Diceros bicornis minor: one gene and its partner. The protein of the gene in region 2 interacts with the protein of the main gene of each other region in a pairwise test. Links are inferred from orthologs where the notes say so. Each region holds a gene or a part of one and is shown on either strand. Other genes may lie near its edges.

What was found.
Region 1: the proteins of ATXN1 (region 2) and TRIM32 interact in binary tests that used the Homo sapiens proteins (3 or more experiments, as listed by UniProt). The link is inferred for Diceros bicornis minor from reciprocal best matches to the Homo sapiens genes ATXN1 and TRIM32.

Annotation. Positions count from the first base shown.
Region 1 is NC_080767.1:24,431,547-24,439,007, forward strand, and holds the start of TRIM32 (E3 ubiquitin-protein ligase TRIM32), read left to right. Parts: upstream 1-4,444; 5' UTR 4,445-4,479; intron 4,480-4,717; exon of another isoform or gene 4,718-4,765; intron 4,766-7,461. UniProt on the Homo sapiens protein: E3 ubiquitin ligase that plays a role in various biological processes including neural stem cell differentiation, innate immunity, inflammatory resonse and autophagy.
Region 2 is NC_080753.1:50,433,728-50,441,432, forward strand, and holds the start of ATXN1 (ataxin-1), read left to right. Parts: upstream 1-4,704; 5' UTR 4,705-4,926; intron 4,927-5,765; exon of another isoform or gene 5,766-6,091; intron 6,092-7,705. UniProt on the Homo sapiens protein: Chromatin-binding factor that repress Notch signaling in the absence of Notch intracellular domain by acting as a CBF1 corepressor. Binds to the HEY promoter and might assist, along with NCOR2, RBPJ-mediated repression. Binds RNA in vitro.

The DNA.
Region 1 (7,461 bases), on a different chromosome or scaffold from region 2:
TAGAGAACCAAAACCTGGGGCCAGCCCTGTGGCATAGTGGTTAACTTTGGCACACTCTGCTTCGGCAGCCCAGGTTCTCGGGTTTGGATCCCGGGTGCAGACCTACACCACTTGTCAGTCATGCTGTGGTGGTGACCCACATATAAAACAGAGGAAGATGGGCACAGATGTCAGCTCAGGGCTAATCGTCTTCAGGAAAGAAAAAAAAAAAGAGGAAGATTGGCAACAGATGTTAGCTCAGGGCAACTCTTCCTCAGGAATGAATGAATGAATGAATGAACAAATAAACAAATAAATGATGTTATATATAAAAAAAAGAACTGAAACCTGTCAACAACGACATAAGTGATCTTAGAAATCAATCCTTCCCCAAACCTTCAGATGAGACCCCAGCCCTGGCCAATAACTTGACTGCAGCCTTGTGAGAGACCATGAAGCAGAGGACCCAGCTAAGCTGTGCTTAGATTCCTGACTCACAGAAACTATGAGATAAGAAATGAGTGTTGTTTTAAAACATGAAGTTTGGGGATCATTTATTGCCCAATGATAGGTAAGTAATACAGATAGATATAGTTTTATATTATTTCATGAAAATTCTAGCAATTCTAAATCTCTAGACTCAGACAAATTTGGCTGGGATGTATTAGAGCTTAACTGCTTACATTTTCTCCCCCACATTTTATAAGCAAGAAATTCCTCTTCCTTCTCAGAATTCAGTTGCTAATAAGAGAAGAAAAGGAGAATATTTTGTAGAGAATAGCAATAATAACAATAATAATAATGACTACAGTAGCTAACATTCATAGAGCACTTATTCTTTACCAGGCAGTGCTCTAAAAGCTTTAGGTTTATTAAGTCATCTAACGTTCACAACATTCCAATGTGGTAGATAAGTACTATTACTCCCATTTTGCAGAGGTGAAAGTTAAGTACAGAGAGGCTAAGTAAGTTGTCCAAGGTTACAGAGCTTGTCAGCTGCAACAAGTTACCAAGCATTCCTTCAAATCATCTTCTAATCTATTCCCCCAAATAACCTTCCAGGTGGGTAGAACTGGGTGGGTAGAACTGGGATCCTCCAAAGTCCTTGCTCTTTCTACTACATAGTGGTGGACTTAATAAACAAACTTATTTACAATAATAATAAATGCAATACAATGAACATTACTACTACAATGAACATTACTACATGTTAGGCAACATCCTAATCTGTAAATGCTTAACATCCAGTATCTCATTTTCTCCCAACAATCCTGTGAATTAGCTATTGTTATCCCCATTTTAAAGAGAGGTTAAATTAGAGATCTTCTTTGTAAATAGAGAAAACAATACTTAGCCCATAGGGTGATGTTATTGGTTGAAGGTTGAATTGTGTCCCCTAAAAAGATATGTTGAAATCCTAACCGCCAGTATATCAGAATATGACTTTATTTGGAAATAACGGCATTGTGGATGTAATTTGTTAAGATGAGGTCACACTGGAATTTTAATTAGGCATGATAGAGGTCATATTTAATCTAATCTGACTGGTGTTCTTATAAGAAGACAGAGACACACACAGAGAGGAGAATGCCACATGGAGACGGAGCTACACAGGGAGAAATGACGACAAGAAGATGGAGGCAGAGACTGGAATTATGCTACCACAAGCCAAGGAACGCCTGGGGCCACCAGAAGCTGGAAGAGGCAGGGAAGGATCCTCCCTCAGAGACTTCAGAGAAAGCATGGCCCCTCTGACACCTTGATTTCAGATTTCTAGCCTCCAGAACTGTGAGAAAATAAATTTCTCTTGTTTTGAGCCACCTAGTTTGCGATACTTTGTTATGAAAAGGCTAGGAAACTGATATAGGTAGTTTAAGTGGTAAATGGTAACTGTGGTTTTCAGCAAACAGGGTGCTAACTCCCTACCTGGTCTGAGAAGAGGGTATAAGTGAGGTCTTAAACTATTTCACAGCAACTCTCCCATCTGCCCCCACCTACAAGACAGGGGCTGGTAGAAGTACCCAGGCCCCTGTCCAGAGAAGTTCCTTGCCATTCTGGTAAAACAGGCCACTCTGAGTCTCCAACATGGCAGGAACCCAGGGCAGAGGGCAATTCCTGCTTTTCTCTGGCAATGCCGCTCAGACCAGCTCATCTGGGTGTCTTTGCCTTACCAGGATCATGCTCTGTGGTCTTGACAACAGCCATGATTTGCCCCATATTCCTTGACTTCCTAAGCATCATCATCTCTCCTTCTCTCTTTTGAGTCTTACAAACAAGCCTTACTCAACAAAATAGAAAGATAGCTGGTGTCATAAAATGTGGATGAGTCTTTGGATGGTGGTTCAGTGTGTCATAGGCCTGACTGGTCTGGGTTTGTACCCCAGCCCTACCACTTCCCAGGAGGTGACCATATGCAAGGTACTTAGTCTTGCTGAGCCTCAGTTGCCTCTTCTGCAAGATGCAGCTACTGATATCTACCTCAGTCATTGTTAAGGGGATTAATTGTGACGTGTGACAATATCTATGAAGAGCCTGGTATACTGCTGGTGTTCAAAAAATGGTCCGCTCTTTCCCAACTGACCCCACTGAGTCATTCTGCAGCTAGAATAACTCTAGGTCAGACAGGGATATGATTTGCCTAAGGTCACATTTCTAAGTCTGACTCAGCAACTCTTATGTGCTGGGCACTAAGCTAATAGATGTGATGACAAACAGGCACTGTCCCTCAGCCCACTAGTGAAGACTGCAGGGAAGTGGATAATTAAAGCCCAACCTGGTATGTGCTTTGCGAGAAGTCATCAAATTACAAGTCCTGGTACTTGCTGAGCATGCAGCAAGCACCTCGGAGTTCCCAGAAGCTCAGGAAGGTGGGAGAAGCACGTACTTCTCTTCCCCTGGCCCTGCAAGGTTCTGTTTGCATCCACGGGCTGCCAATTTTGAGCAAAACCTGCCCCCAGGGCCCATGAGTCCCTGACTGGGCCCCCTCTTCAGCCCACTCCTGACTCAACCTATTCCTGGCCTGTCTGGTCAAACCCTAGCTGGCCCTGGACTGCAAGTATATCCTTGAGGTCTCAGATAGCCCCAGAGCTCCCTAGCCTGTTCAAAGGATGCCATGAAGTATACCAACTCTGACTCCTGTTGCCCTCAATATCTGAAATGCTGGGAGCTGGGGCTTCTGGAATCAGCAGTCCAGAGAGTGTAAGAGCTAAGTGGAATTTAAAAAAATATTTACCATTAATTAAGTGCAAACCACTATATATTCATAATCTCAGTTAATCCTCACAGCAAACTTCATCTCCATTTAGAGAAAAAAATGGGCAGCAAGATTAAACAAGGTTAAGAGGGTGGATTCTCATATAGAATTGGGTTCCAATCTAGGCTTTATACTTATGATCATGTGGCCTTGCTGTTTAACCAACTGGGCATCAGTTGCTTATCTAATAGGGTCATTATGAGGATGAAGTGAACTACGCATATGAAGTGCTCAGCTGCAGCCAGACACTAAGTGCTCAAAGATGTTAGCTTTGCTACTGTTTTTGTTTGTTGTTTTATCATTGTGCAAGGTCACATAACTAAGTGGGATTTCAAGTCCAAGCCCATCCTACTCCAAACCCCTTCCTGCTCCTAACCTATACTACATGGTCACCTGCAAGAGCCGGTAATTGGCTTCAAACTACCTAAGGGGCCACAGGTTCTTGGCAGCCAGGAGGCCAGACCACCTCCCACCTGGGAAGACTCTACCCTTTCCTGGCTCCCTCGAAGCTAGACTCAGGTGTGGGTTCCTGGGTATCTTCAGTGTGCAGGGACAGGAGCTGCAGACTGTATTCCCATATTTACCTCTGCTGTTGGCCTCGCAGCTGAGTAGGCGTAAGACTCCTTCAGCAGAACAATTTGTTCATCAGATAAACTTGTCTCTAGGCGGCGGTGTGTCACAGGGAGAAACATGGGGCCAGAAGAACTACGTTTCTAAGCGAGCCCAGGTTCTGTGTTTGCCCCCGAGGGTAAGTTGTATTTCCTTGGTCCTTTTGTCAGATGGGAAAGCTGAGGTTCAGAGAGGCCTTTCTGTGAGGCGCCAGGCTTTGCTGAGGACCACTCCTGGAGGATGCGATTTAGCGACGGGGTTGATACAGACTGGAGTCAGACACGTGAGTTCTGGTTTACCTCCCGACTCTGAGGGAACTTGGGCAGGCCCCTTTCGCCTCAGTTTCTTTATCTGTACAATGGCCCTCAGTTTCTTTATCTGTACAACGGGGACAGGAACCTGAGTGACGTGTTCCTAAAGCTCTGCATATCTCAGCGGAGACCTCGCCCCTACGCGGTCACTCGCGCCAGCCAGCCTACAAGCCCCAGCATGCCTCGGGGGGGGGGGGGCGGGGCGCAGTGATGGACAGGCGGTTCTGTGAATTGGCGCCCGCCAAGGGCCGCGCGTTGGCGCGTGCGCAGAGGGCGGCGGGCGGGTGGGCTGGCGACGGTGGACGCGTCGGAGCCGCGGGCGGTCAGGTAGGGGGCGGGAAGGAGGGTGGGGGACGAGGGACCGCGGGCAGAGTCACGGACGGTGGCTGAACGGCGGGGCAGGGGCTGTGCTGGCGTGCAGCGGCCGGCCCACGCCCGAATGGCAGGGTCTGGGGGCCGGATCCTAGGGGCAGGGCCGGGGTGGGGGTGGGGCTGTAAGGGGCAGGCTCGGGAGGGATTCGAGGGGGCCGAAGAGCTAGGAGAAGATGCAGCTCCGGGAGGGGAGCGAGGGGCTCCGAGAAGATTCGCGGTGCAACATGTCAGGAGGTATGAGGTAATGTGGGGGCCCTGAGGAGAGATGGTGTGCAGCATCTGGGAGATGGGAGGGGATCTGAAGGCCCTGAAGGGATCAGGGGTGCAGAATTTCGGACATATGGAGGAATTTGGGAGCCCTGATGAAATCTGGGGTGCAGAATCTCAGGAGATTTGAGGGAATGCGGGGGCACTGTTCTTGCGGGGGGGCCGCAAAATCTGAGATCAGAGGGAGCAGGGTCAGGGGCTATCCTATTTGCTAAGGAGGCAGCGTTTTCCCAGGGGGAATCTGGGGAAAATTGAGAGCCTGAGTTCTTGGGGGATCAGTGGGAAGCAGTATCTTGTTAGCAGAAAGAAGGGACCTGGTTAAGGTTTGAAGGCAACGTGTGCCATGACGTGGGTAAAAGAGGAAGGAGCAAGGTTGGAGGGCGGCACAATGCCTGATGGAATGCAGGGGATGGGGGCTCGGATTGAGGTGTGGGATTGGGGTGTTAAACTGGGATGCTGGGTTGACGGCTGCAGAGATTTGGAAACAGGGATTAAAGGATGTATGTCAGAGGGATTTGGGGTGCATGAGTGAAGAATCGGTGAAGGTTGCAATATAGAGCCCAAAAGGCTGGAATTCTATATTGTAAGAGAGTTGGGAACAGGATTTGGGGAGGGTTGAATGGTGGGGTGGGGATGTACCAAATGAACTGTAGAATTAAAGGACTCCGAATAGATTTGTGGATTGGTGTCATGGGCTGCTAAAGAAATTTTCTTGAAGTCTCTGCATGGGAAGTAAAAGGAGTTCTGGGGACCCAAGGACCTAGAAGTAATGTATGAAACCATATATGAGTGTATGAACTTTAGGAGAGTTCAGGGGTTCAGCAACGAAGTCATGTCTCCAGAGATCAGGACTCCTGAAGGAGCCTGACTTTCCTTGTGAGGGACAGAATCGCCCTCACTCATGAACCAAAGATCCCTTATCCCGAGGCAGCCATGGTACTGCCACTAACTCCACTCTGAGCCCAGGCCTGCTGAAAGTGGTAGGCTTGGGGGGAGAAGAGAGTTGTCAAAGGGAGCGTGAAGCAGGAAATTATTCAAGGTCATCTGCCTAAGCTCCCCTCTCCCTGTTCCCCTAAGCTGTGATAGCCGATAGTGTGTGAGACCTCCAAAGGATGAGGGAACAAGACCGCAGGCCTTATTTTCCTCATCAGTTGAATAAGTAGATGGAATTAATCCTATATAAGGTCCATTAGAGCTTGAAGAGGCAGTGCGTCTGTGAATGAGGTGTTTGGGCTCGGAGAGAGACACGAAAACAGGAACTCATATATATTGAGCATTTAGTCCTGTGCCAAGTTCTAAAGCAGTGGTTCCTACAGGGGCTGGTGTTGTCCCCCAGGAGACATTTGGCAATGTCTGGAAACATTTTTGGTTGTCATCGTTGAGATGTGGGGTACTACTGGCCTCTGGTGGGTAGACATCAGGGATGCTGTTAAACATCCTACAGTGCACTGGTCAGCCCTCCAGTCATAAAGAATTATCCGGCCCAAAATTTCAGTAGTGCCAAAGTTGAGGAACCCTGCTCTAGAGTCAGATGTACTGGATTCAAATCCTGGCTCTATCTCTTCCTGACTTTGTGATCTTGAATGAGTTACTTAACCTCCCTGTGCTTGGCTCTTCATCTGTAAAATGGGGTTAATAACAGGACTTACATTGTAGGATTGTTGTAAAGATTCAGTGAAGTAAATCAGAGTACCTAGTGTCTGGTGTGTAGTTAGTGTTCAAAATTTACTAAGTTTCAATTCTTATGGGTACTTTCTTACTCAGTTTTTATAATAGCCCTCCTAAGTAGGCTCTAGTTTATCCAGTTTTACATATAAGGAAACTAAGGCTTAGGACGTGACTAAGGATCCATAGCTGGGAATGGCAGAGCGAGGCTCAAATTCAGATCTCTGTAACCCTGTATATTCCCTCTCTCTTGTCTTTTCCGTGCTGGGGCCTGCTTAGTCTTATTATCTCAGCCCATTCCCCTCTAATGAAAGGATTGCCCAGTGAGGATGGCTGAATATCAAATTAAACTGGAAAGGGGATAAATCTATCTGATTAGGTAGGGAGTAGCCCTGGACTTTGTTCTTGATTTGCTCTTAGACCAGGACCAGTGGGTAGATAAAGGGAGGAGCTTGAGGTAGCAAGAGGATGAGGTGAAAGGGACTAGAGTGTGAGGTATGGAGGCCACTGGCTTGATAAAACACCTCACGCCAGGGATTGAAGCTGAAGGCAGTCATTCTCTAGAGAGTAACTGCTGTTCTGAATGATCTCTTCTGGGCATCCTTCCCCTGGGACAGAATAACAGCATTTGCTGTATCAGCTCCAGAACTACCTACAGCATTGCTGAAGCCAGTTCAGAAACATAGTAGGACTGTGGGTCAGAAGGCAAGAGACTTAGCTGGAATATCCACACTCACACCCCTAAGGAAAATTATGTAATGGGAATCAGTCAGCCTGGGAATCAGTGGCTTGGCATCCAAAACTCTTTCCTCTGCTGCTAAGTTACTAGGTGATCTTGGACCACTTGCCCTTGTATTCTTCAGTGTAGTAAAAATATGAATAGCTACCATTTATTGAGTGCTTACTATGTGCATTCTCTCTCCTCCTGGTGATCCTGCCAGCAGTCTAGGTGCTACTCCGCATTTCACAGCTGAGAAAATCAGCAGGTTCAGTGATTGGCCTGAG
Region 2 (7,705 bases):
GTTTTGCAAGCACACTATGATTTGCTCAGATTTTTAAATGACATATGTAGGATAACACCCTCCTTATAATAGCATGGTCAAAGGTCTGTCAGTGTTTCCATTAAAAATTCAAACTTTCCAGGATTTATGACACAGCCATAACAAATTGCTCCAGGCAGAAACTTGGCAAATCTTTCTTTAGCGTAGGAGGAAATTCTTGTTAATAATTTTTTTAAAGATATAAATAAATAAATGTTTACCATTTGAATTTACTCATAAGATTTTTTTGTTAGGGAAGGCATTCAGATAAAATACATCTCTGCATTTTGCTTGTTTTACAAATTTGAAATATTAATATTTCAAATTATTTTTGCCCTCCCACCTTCCAGATGTTATGCAATTGCCCTCCCACCTCCCAGATTTTCAATGATTCTAGTATTTGATTCTCATATTTGGAAGTCTGATTGATGTAATGACTCTGAGAGGTGCTGGATCAATCAACTATGAATCTTTAAGTTTCATCATGGTCAAAATGAACATTTTTTCAAAAGATTAAGATTTGTTTTGCTGTGAATTCCTTGCAGACAGAGATGTCTTACTCATCTTTATATTCTCAGATCCTAGTTATTGTAGATGCAAAATAAATGGCTGCTGGTAAATAAACAATAAATACATGAGAAGCAGCTTGAGAATTAAGACAGTCTCTTATTTAAATATTCACTATTAAACATTCACTATCTAGTAACTGAAAAACTGTTAAAACTGCAAAGAACACGCTGCTGGATTTGAACTTCTACCATTCCCCTCCTCTCTGAACACCTGAATGGATTATTGTAACAATTAAATGACCCAGTGCTCTCAAGGCACAACCTGGTTCCAAAACTTTTTTGAGGCTCGGCTTTCCTATGTCTCAGCCACCTCACAGAAGTGTGTGAAGATGCAGTGCGGAAGACTGTGCAAGTATGAAATGCCACATAGATATAACTGAAACGTAAACCCTCACCACTGCAAACATAAGGATAAACCCCTACAATTACTGTGAAAGTAAACATGGTGAAAAGTTCACATTTTTTCACCAACATATTTGACTCCAAATGAAATGAATTGATCTGACGTAGTGTTGGGTTAACTGACCCCAATGTTTTTAGATAAACAGGAGTTACTCTTCGAGTTGCCTTTTATTCTGGATCCTGTTATCTTTATTTCTGACGGGAGAAAAACTAAGGCATCTTTTCCAAGTATGACTTTTGAGGTTTACTTTCTAAGAATTCAAGCCTAAACTCTAAATAAGTATAGCTATATTGTATTTAATTTCCAATCTGTCCAATTATCTAGTTGTTATAACTTGGTAAGCTGTTTGAGTTTGCTTGTTTTTGTTTTGCTTTGTTTTGAATGATGTAAGAGGTTACTTCCAATGAAAACTTATAGTACAATTTAAAATCCCTTACCATTTGGAGGGCCCATGCACTGGTTTTATTAAGCACTCTTGTGCTCCCTCTGCTGCTGTGAAGAAAACCTTCACATTCAAGACCCCAGTACATTGCTCCCAGAGTGTTCTCTCAGCAATGATGATGCAGATTTGTGCATAAATCAGGGCTCTTTGGAAATGCAGTACTATTTGAACAAAGCATAAAATATAATAATTTTCCATTAACAAGTGCAAATTAATAACAGGGTGAGGGAGTAAAAAAGGAATAAATAGAAGAATTAAGTTCTGCAGCTGTGGCCAGATTCATCTAGACAGGGCCCTGCAGTATAGACAAGGTTCTTCCTACTATAATGTGCTTAGGAATCACAAGACAGATCCTGATTCAGTAGAATGGGGTGGAACTCTCATTCTGAATGTCTAAAAAGTTCCCAGATGCTGCTGCTGTTGCTCTGAAGATTACGCATTCAGAAGCAAGATGTAATACATAATTATATGATAGAATATATACTTGATAGCCCATTTTAAACCTTCAAAAGTAGATACTACCAAAACAATGAAATAGACATAAGGGTTGAAAATGATTTTCCATGGTGTTTAAGCAATCCAGAACACATATTAGGAGTAAGGCTCAGCAGGCCTTATTTCTCAATTTGCTCTAATTTCAAAGTTTGGCCTATGCTCGTACGAATATAGTATCAAGTTTATGAATAGGACTATAGTACCACATTTTTGTCTACTGGCTTCTTGAAAAGCCATCTCTTCTTTCATTGAGTTTTTATTCACATGAGAAAGTCTTGCTTTTAAAGAATCAGTGCCAGTTGTTTGTGATTGCACGTTTAATATTTTGCCATCTGAAAAGAAAACATTTCAGTACTGAAGGTAAAGAAACTCCATCATGAGTATTATGTTTATGTTGGACCTTGCAGGAAGAAACAGTTACAGATTTTAATGGCAGTTTATGGCTTTAATCTTAATGGCTAAGCAAGTAAATGACACATTTTTTATTAATTGTTCTTACTGTTTCGGTAATATACATATTTCGCTTCCTTGAGGGAACATTTAAATTAATTGACTAACTCTAATCTGAATTATGTGTTTTCATTTAAGGCTGTTAAAATAACTTAAACTAACTGCTTATGTCAATGTAATAATTAAAAGATTAGCTCTTTTTCACCCCAAATTCTCTACACGTAAGATGTCTAAAAATAAAGTGGAGGTGGATTGGACAGTCTGCAGATCAGGAGTTGGAATAAAAACATCTCAGTTAAGCCAAAAACATGGCAACCAATATTTTCTGTTATAAAAATATTTTAGATGAATTTAGTTTTTATGAAATCTGTCTGAAACTGAAATGAATAGCAGCAGCTCTCTGTTTATTCGCAGGCCAGTAATATAATACCTGCCGCACAACGCATACGGCTTTTACGTGCAGAGCCAACAAGCTTCTGCTCCTTTCAGAAGCCGGCTCTGCCAAGTGGGGGGAAGAGATATTACCCGGTTATGTTCTGAGATGTTAACCTTCACCTTGATAATGCTTGTCAACGAAAACACCACCAGGCAGAGCCTTTTCAGAAAACTGATTTTAAACTGTCCACTAGAGGCTGTAAGGAGACCAACAATATCACCTTAGTCCAACCTCGAGGTTTAAACTGTAGCAATCATTGATTGTTAAATGATAAAAAAAAAGTTGTAGACATGAGTAAGAGTGAACAAGAGTAATTCTATTTAAGTAGCCATGTATATGTGCATGGTATTTCAAAATGTGAGAAAAAAATGATTTCCGGGGCCCTACACCTTCCTAGTTAGTATGCTTATTTTTATTTCTGTAGCACGTTGACTCTACAATACAGTTGTTTAAAAGCTGACATATTTCTCTTGGTGATTCTGTATCCTGCTTCAGTTGGTGACTAACCGTTAGATCATAAGTAAACTCAGCCAAAAGTTTTCTTAAATACAGCTTACAGTCAGTAGTGGTGGCTTCCCGAGAGAAACTTACGTGGAAGGATCATGTTTCCAGACACTTGGTTCTAAGCACCTGAAGAAAGTCAAACGCTGTCCCGACACCTACTGGTCTTCCAGAATTATCTGCATTAAGGAGAACGCCCCACCGACCTCGCTATAGCGTGGATGTGCTTTCTCTTCCTCCAGGTGCCACACCTGTTGGCAAGGTGCACCCCTCCAAAGAAAATTCTTTCCCATCGAGCTAACACCTGGCAGTGGTAGATGCCGAGGGGGCGGGATGGTGGGGAGTTGAGAACCGCACTTAAAAATTGAGTCCAGAGGAAGTTCTTCAGCGCGGATTCACAAGAAGTGCCATTCGATGCTCGGTTTGCTTTCTTTATCTCCTACACTGGTTACCTCATTTCCGATTAAATTAATGATCCCGAATTAGCTGCAAGAGGAGTGCGCGGGTCGTCTACCAAGGCTAGAGCTGGGTAGTTCAATACCCCAAGCAGATTTCCGGACCTGCAGAGAGAAAAAGGAGAGCAGGGAGGTCACCGGTTTTCGCAGGCAGTAAAGGTAAGGGTGCACGTGCAATCGGGGGGACCCTTAAAACTTTCTTGAGTTGCACGCAAAGGCAATCCCCGCGGCCCGGTGGTCTGGGTTCCGGAAAGCCCAAGCTAAACCGGTTTCAGGGTTAACTTGCATGACGATCGAAGTCAGCCCTCTTAGATGCTTCTCGGCGCGCCGGGGACGAAGGGCACGTCGGGATCAGAACTGGCCACCTCCCCTTCCCCTGGGGTATTTCATGGGCTCGGAGTTGAAGCCCGACACCCCTCGGAGAGTCCTCCAGGGTGCCCGAGTTGCACCCTGATGTCGCTCTGTTTTCTCCAACTAGGTGCAGGGACCCGGGGAGGCGCGCGAGGACCGACCGGTCACCGCTAAAATTACCTCATCGCTTCAGCTCCCCGCCCCTTTCCCAAACCTGGAAGAACTCTCCCCTTCAGCCCGTGTCTCCCCTCCCGCCCTCCTCACCCCGATCGCAATCCAGTCTTTGGGAAACGCGCCCGCCTCCCCCGGGGCCGCCGAGCCCGGGCAGCGCGCACCGAAGGGTTAAGGGCGCGGGCCGCCGCTGCGCCGCGCGCTCGCGGTGCTCACAGCGGCTCTCTCCGCCGCCCGCCAGAGGGTGCCCCCCCGCCCCCAAGTCGGATCCTTGAGCTGCGGCGGCGGCAGCCAACTGCTCCATATTTGGCTTCTATTACACATTTACATACTGGAGCGAGCGAGCGAGCGCGAGAGAGCGCCAGGGAGGGAGGGAGCGAGGGAGGGCGGGCGGAGGGGGGAGGGAGGAGGGAGGGGAGGGGAGCGGGGGGAGGAGGAGGAGGAGGAGAGAGCAGAGTATACCGCAGACATCATTTCTACTACAGTGGCGGAGCCGTACAGGACCTGTTTCACTGCAGGGGGATCCAAAACAAGCCCCGTGGAGCAGCAGCCAGAGCTACAGCAGCCGCAAGACACTGTTTCTCTCCCTCTGCCCCCCCTTCCCCACGCAACCCCAGATCCATTTACACTTTACAGTAAGTGGCTATTTTTTTTTCTCCTCTGATTCTTTCCCTCCTCCCTCCCCCCATCCCCTTCTCCCCTTATTTAGATTAAAATCCCCCCCATCCCCGCTCTCCCGAGAGGGGTAAAAGCAACAACCGGCAAACAAACCCCAAACCCCAAACCCCAATCGGCGGCACGAAAAACAGCTGGAAGAGGAGCGAAGGAAATCGACGCGTCGTGTTGTGTTATGTGTGTGTATGTGTGCGTGTGTACATACAGCCTTCCCCTGCTCCAGCCTCCCGGGCCGACACCCCCGCTCTGGGCGCAGGGACGTCCGGCAGGGGGTCTGCCGGGGCCGGGTGGGCGCCCGCCGGGCGAGGGGGTGCGCCCGGTTTGGGGGCGCGGGCGGGGAAAGCGGCGGCGGTGCCCCGCTCCGCGGCTGCCGGTCCGGCGGAGAGTGCGGCGAGCCATGTCCTCCTCCCTTGAGGTGGCGTAAGGGGAGACGGCGGCTGCCGGGGGTCGCGCTGCCCCCTCCTCCCGCGGCCCCCTCCTCCCTCTCTCCAAAGAGGGCGGCGAGAGCCAGTGGGTCTGGAGGAGGGCTAGGCTTCCCCGCGGGTGGCCGCCTGGCCTGCGAGCCCCAGGGTGGGGGTCTCCCCGCGGAGGCCGGGACTTTGCGCACGGCCGGGCGGTGGGAGCGCTGGGGGCGCGGAGGGGTGGGAGCGAGGGGAGCCGGCGTGCGGGTGCCGGGAGCGCGGCTGGAGTGGCGGTGGCGGCCCTGGCTGCCGCCACCGCCGCCCTGTTGGTACGGCCGCTTCCTGATCATGTGCAGCGGCCGTCGCCGCCGGGAGCCCGCGAGCGCCCCGGCCCGGACCGGCGCCCCCGCCAGCGCCCGCAGCAGGAGCAGAAGAGCCGCGGCCGGCGCTGCCCTGCCTGCGCCGGGAGTGAACGGCTGCGCCGCTGCTGAGAGGGTGAATGAAGCCAGGAGGAGGGGAAAGAGGAGGCGGCGGCGGCGGAGGAGGCGCTGCGGGGATTGGGATGCGCCCTGGAGCCCCGCTGCTCGTTCACTCTGGGCCGTGCTGGAGACTCTGCCACTCCCGCGGCCGCCGCCGCCGCTGCCTCTTCCTACGTGGTTCCAGAGCTGCGCGCAGGCCGGTCCCGCAGGGGGCAGGGAAGGGGGCCGGACGGGCGGAGCGAGAGGTGAGGCGGTGGCAGAGCCCGGCGTGAGTGCGAGTGCGTGTGCGTATGTGTTTGTGTGTGCGCGGGGGAGGGGGGCAGCGAGGGCAGTCGCCATGGGGAGGGAGCCCCCTCTGTGGCCACTTGGCTGACTCTGCAGCGCCCCGACCCCTCCTCAGCCTCCCGCCCTCAGGCCGCCTTCCTAAACTCTGTAGCTTGTGCTTTCATTTTATGTCAGACCACGTAGTGGGCTGACTGGCAGCGATGAAACAATTCAGGTTTTCTAGGGAGATTGAGCAAGAACCTTAGTGGGGGGTGGAAGTAGGGTGATGTTGGAGATCCTGCCAGAAAACAACAAAAAAAATCAGTTTCTAAGAACTGTGGGGTTCGGTTCAATCCCGTGGCTGCTCTGTTTTGTTTTGCTTTCTTAGTATATAATCCGACAGATAAGAGGGTAATATAAATAGTTGGGAAGGTTGGGAAATTGCTGAAGAGTAGTAAGGGGGGAAAAAAAGCCAGTCGGAAGCTGGTTATATAATGCGCGATGTGGCTAACGAGAACGGCAAGCTATTTTTATTTTGTTTACCGTATGCTGTGCAGTAGGGACTCCTCCAAACTGGTTCTGTCCCCGAAGAGATTCTTAGCTTCCGTGTGAGATCCACAGGATACAATTAGCAAAATTAGAAGACCCTATTACACCCACAGAATAAAAACTAATGCCTTAGAGTGGCATGCTCCCTGCACATCCTGTCGTGCATGCACGGCAATGTGTGTATGCAAATAAGTTCTCCTTTGGGAATCTAGTAGTCACATCTCAATGACATTTGTGTTTTATAATGCAGGGTATTCTTAATATTTAAGCATCATCTTTACATAGAGCACACACAGTGGGTAGTTATTTGGTGGTTATTTTTAGTCATAGCTAGTTACTTTTTCAACAATGTTAGCTAAGCCATTTCTGTTTGGGTTTCTGAGGAGCCCTGCAGTTCCTAGAAGCTCCTGTTAAGCCCACCCTCTGGTGTATTTGGTGGGTGAAGGTAGTTGGATACTTGAGCTTTTTTTGGAATGAAGCTTATGCCGTTATGCCGGAGGAAGAACCAGAGAGAAGGATGGGAAAATCCTGCACATGAACTCGTAGAAAGGGATTGCACCATAGCGGCTAATGCTGTGGCGTTTAATCTCCTCTGATTGCCCTCTAACTGTGCATGCATCAGTCAATATTTTAGCAGCTCCACACACAAATGGTCTTGAATGCCACCTTCTCTGTAAAGCAGAGGTTGAAGGGCTCTCCTGCCTGCCTTTCTCATCATGAAGATACTGTCAGTGGTGTAGGTTTTCGTTGCACTTACTCCAGCCCTGATCACTCATGTAATTAGATCAGGCTGCCATGGCAACAGACAGTGTTCCTCGTCCATTCAGGTGGGTTTGTCTTGTGCCTGGACTACTCCAAGTGTTTTATGCACAGTATTTGTGCTGCCCAAGCCAGACGAGAGACTTCACTATTTCAATTGGTCTTCTTTCAGTCATCTGGACTGGAGACACTGAATGAGGCTTCTAGCTACTCAACTTTTATAAAGGAGACCCACAGGCTGTTCTTACTGGGTGCAGTATGTAAATGCATCTCCCTGGACAGTGAAA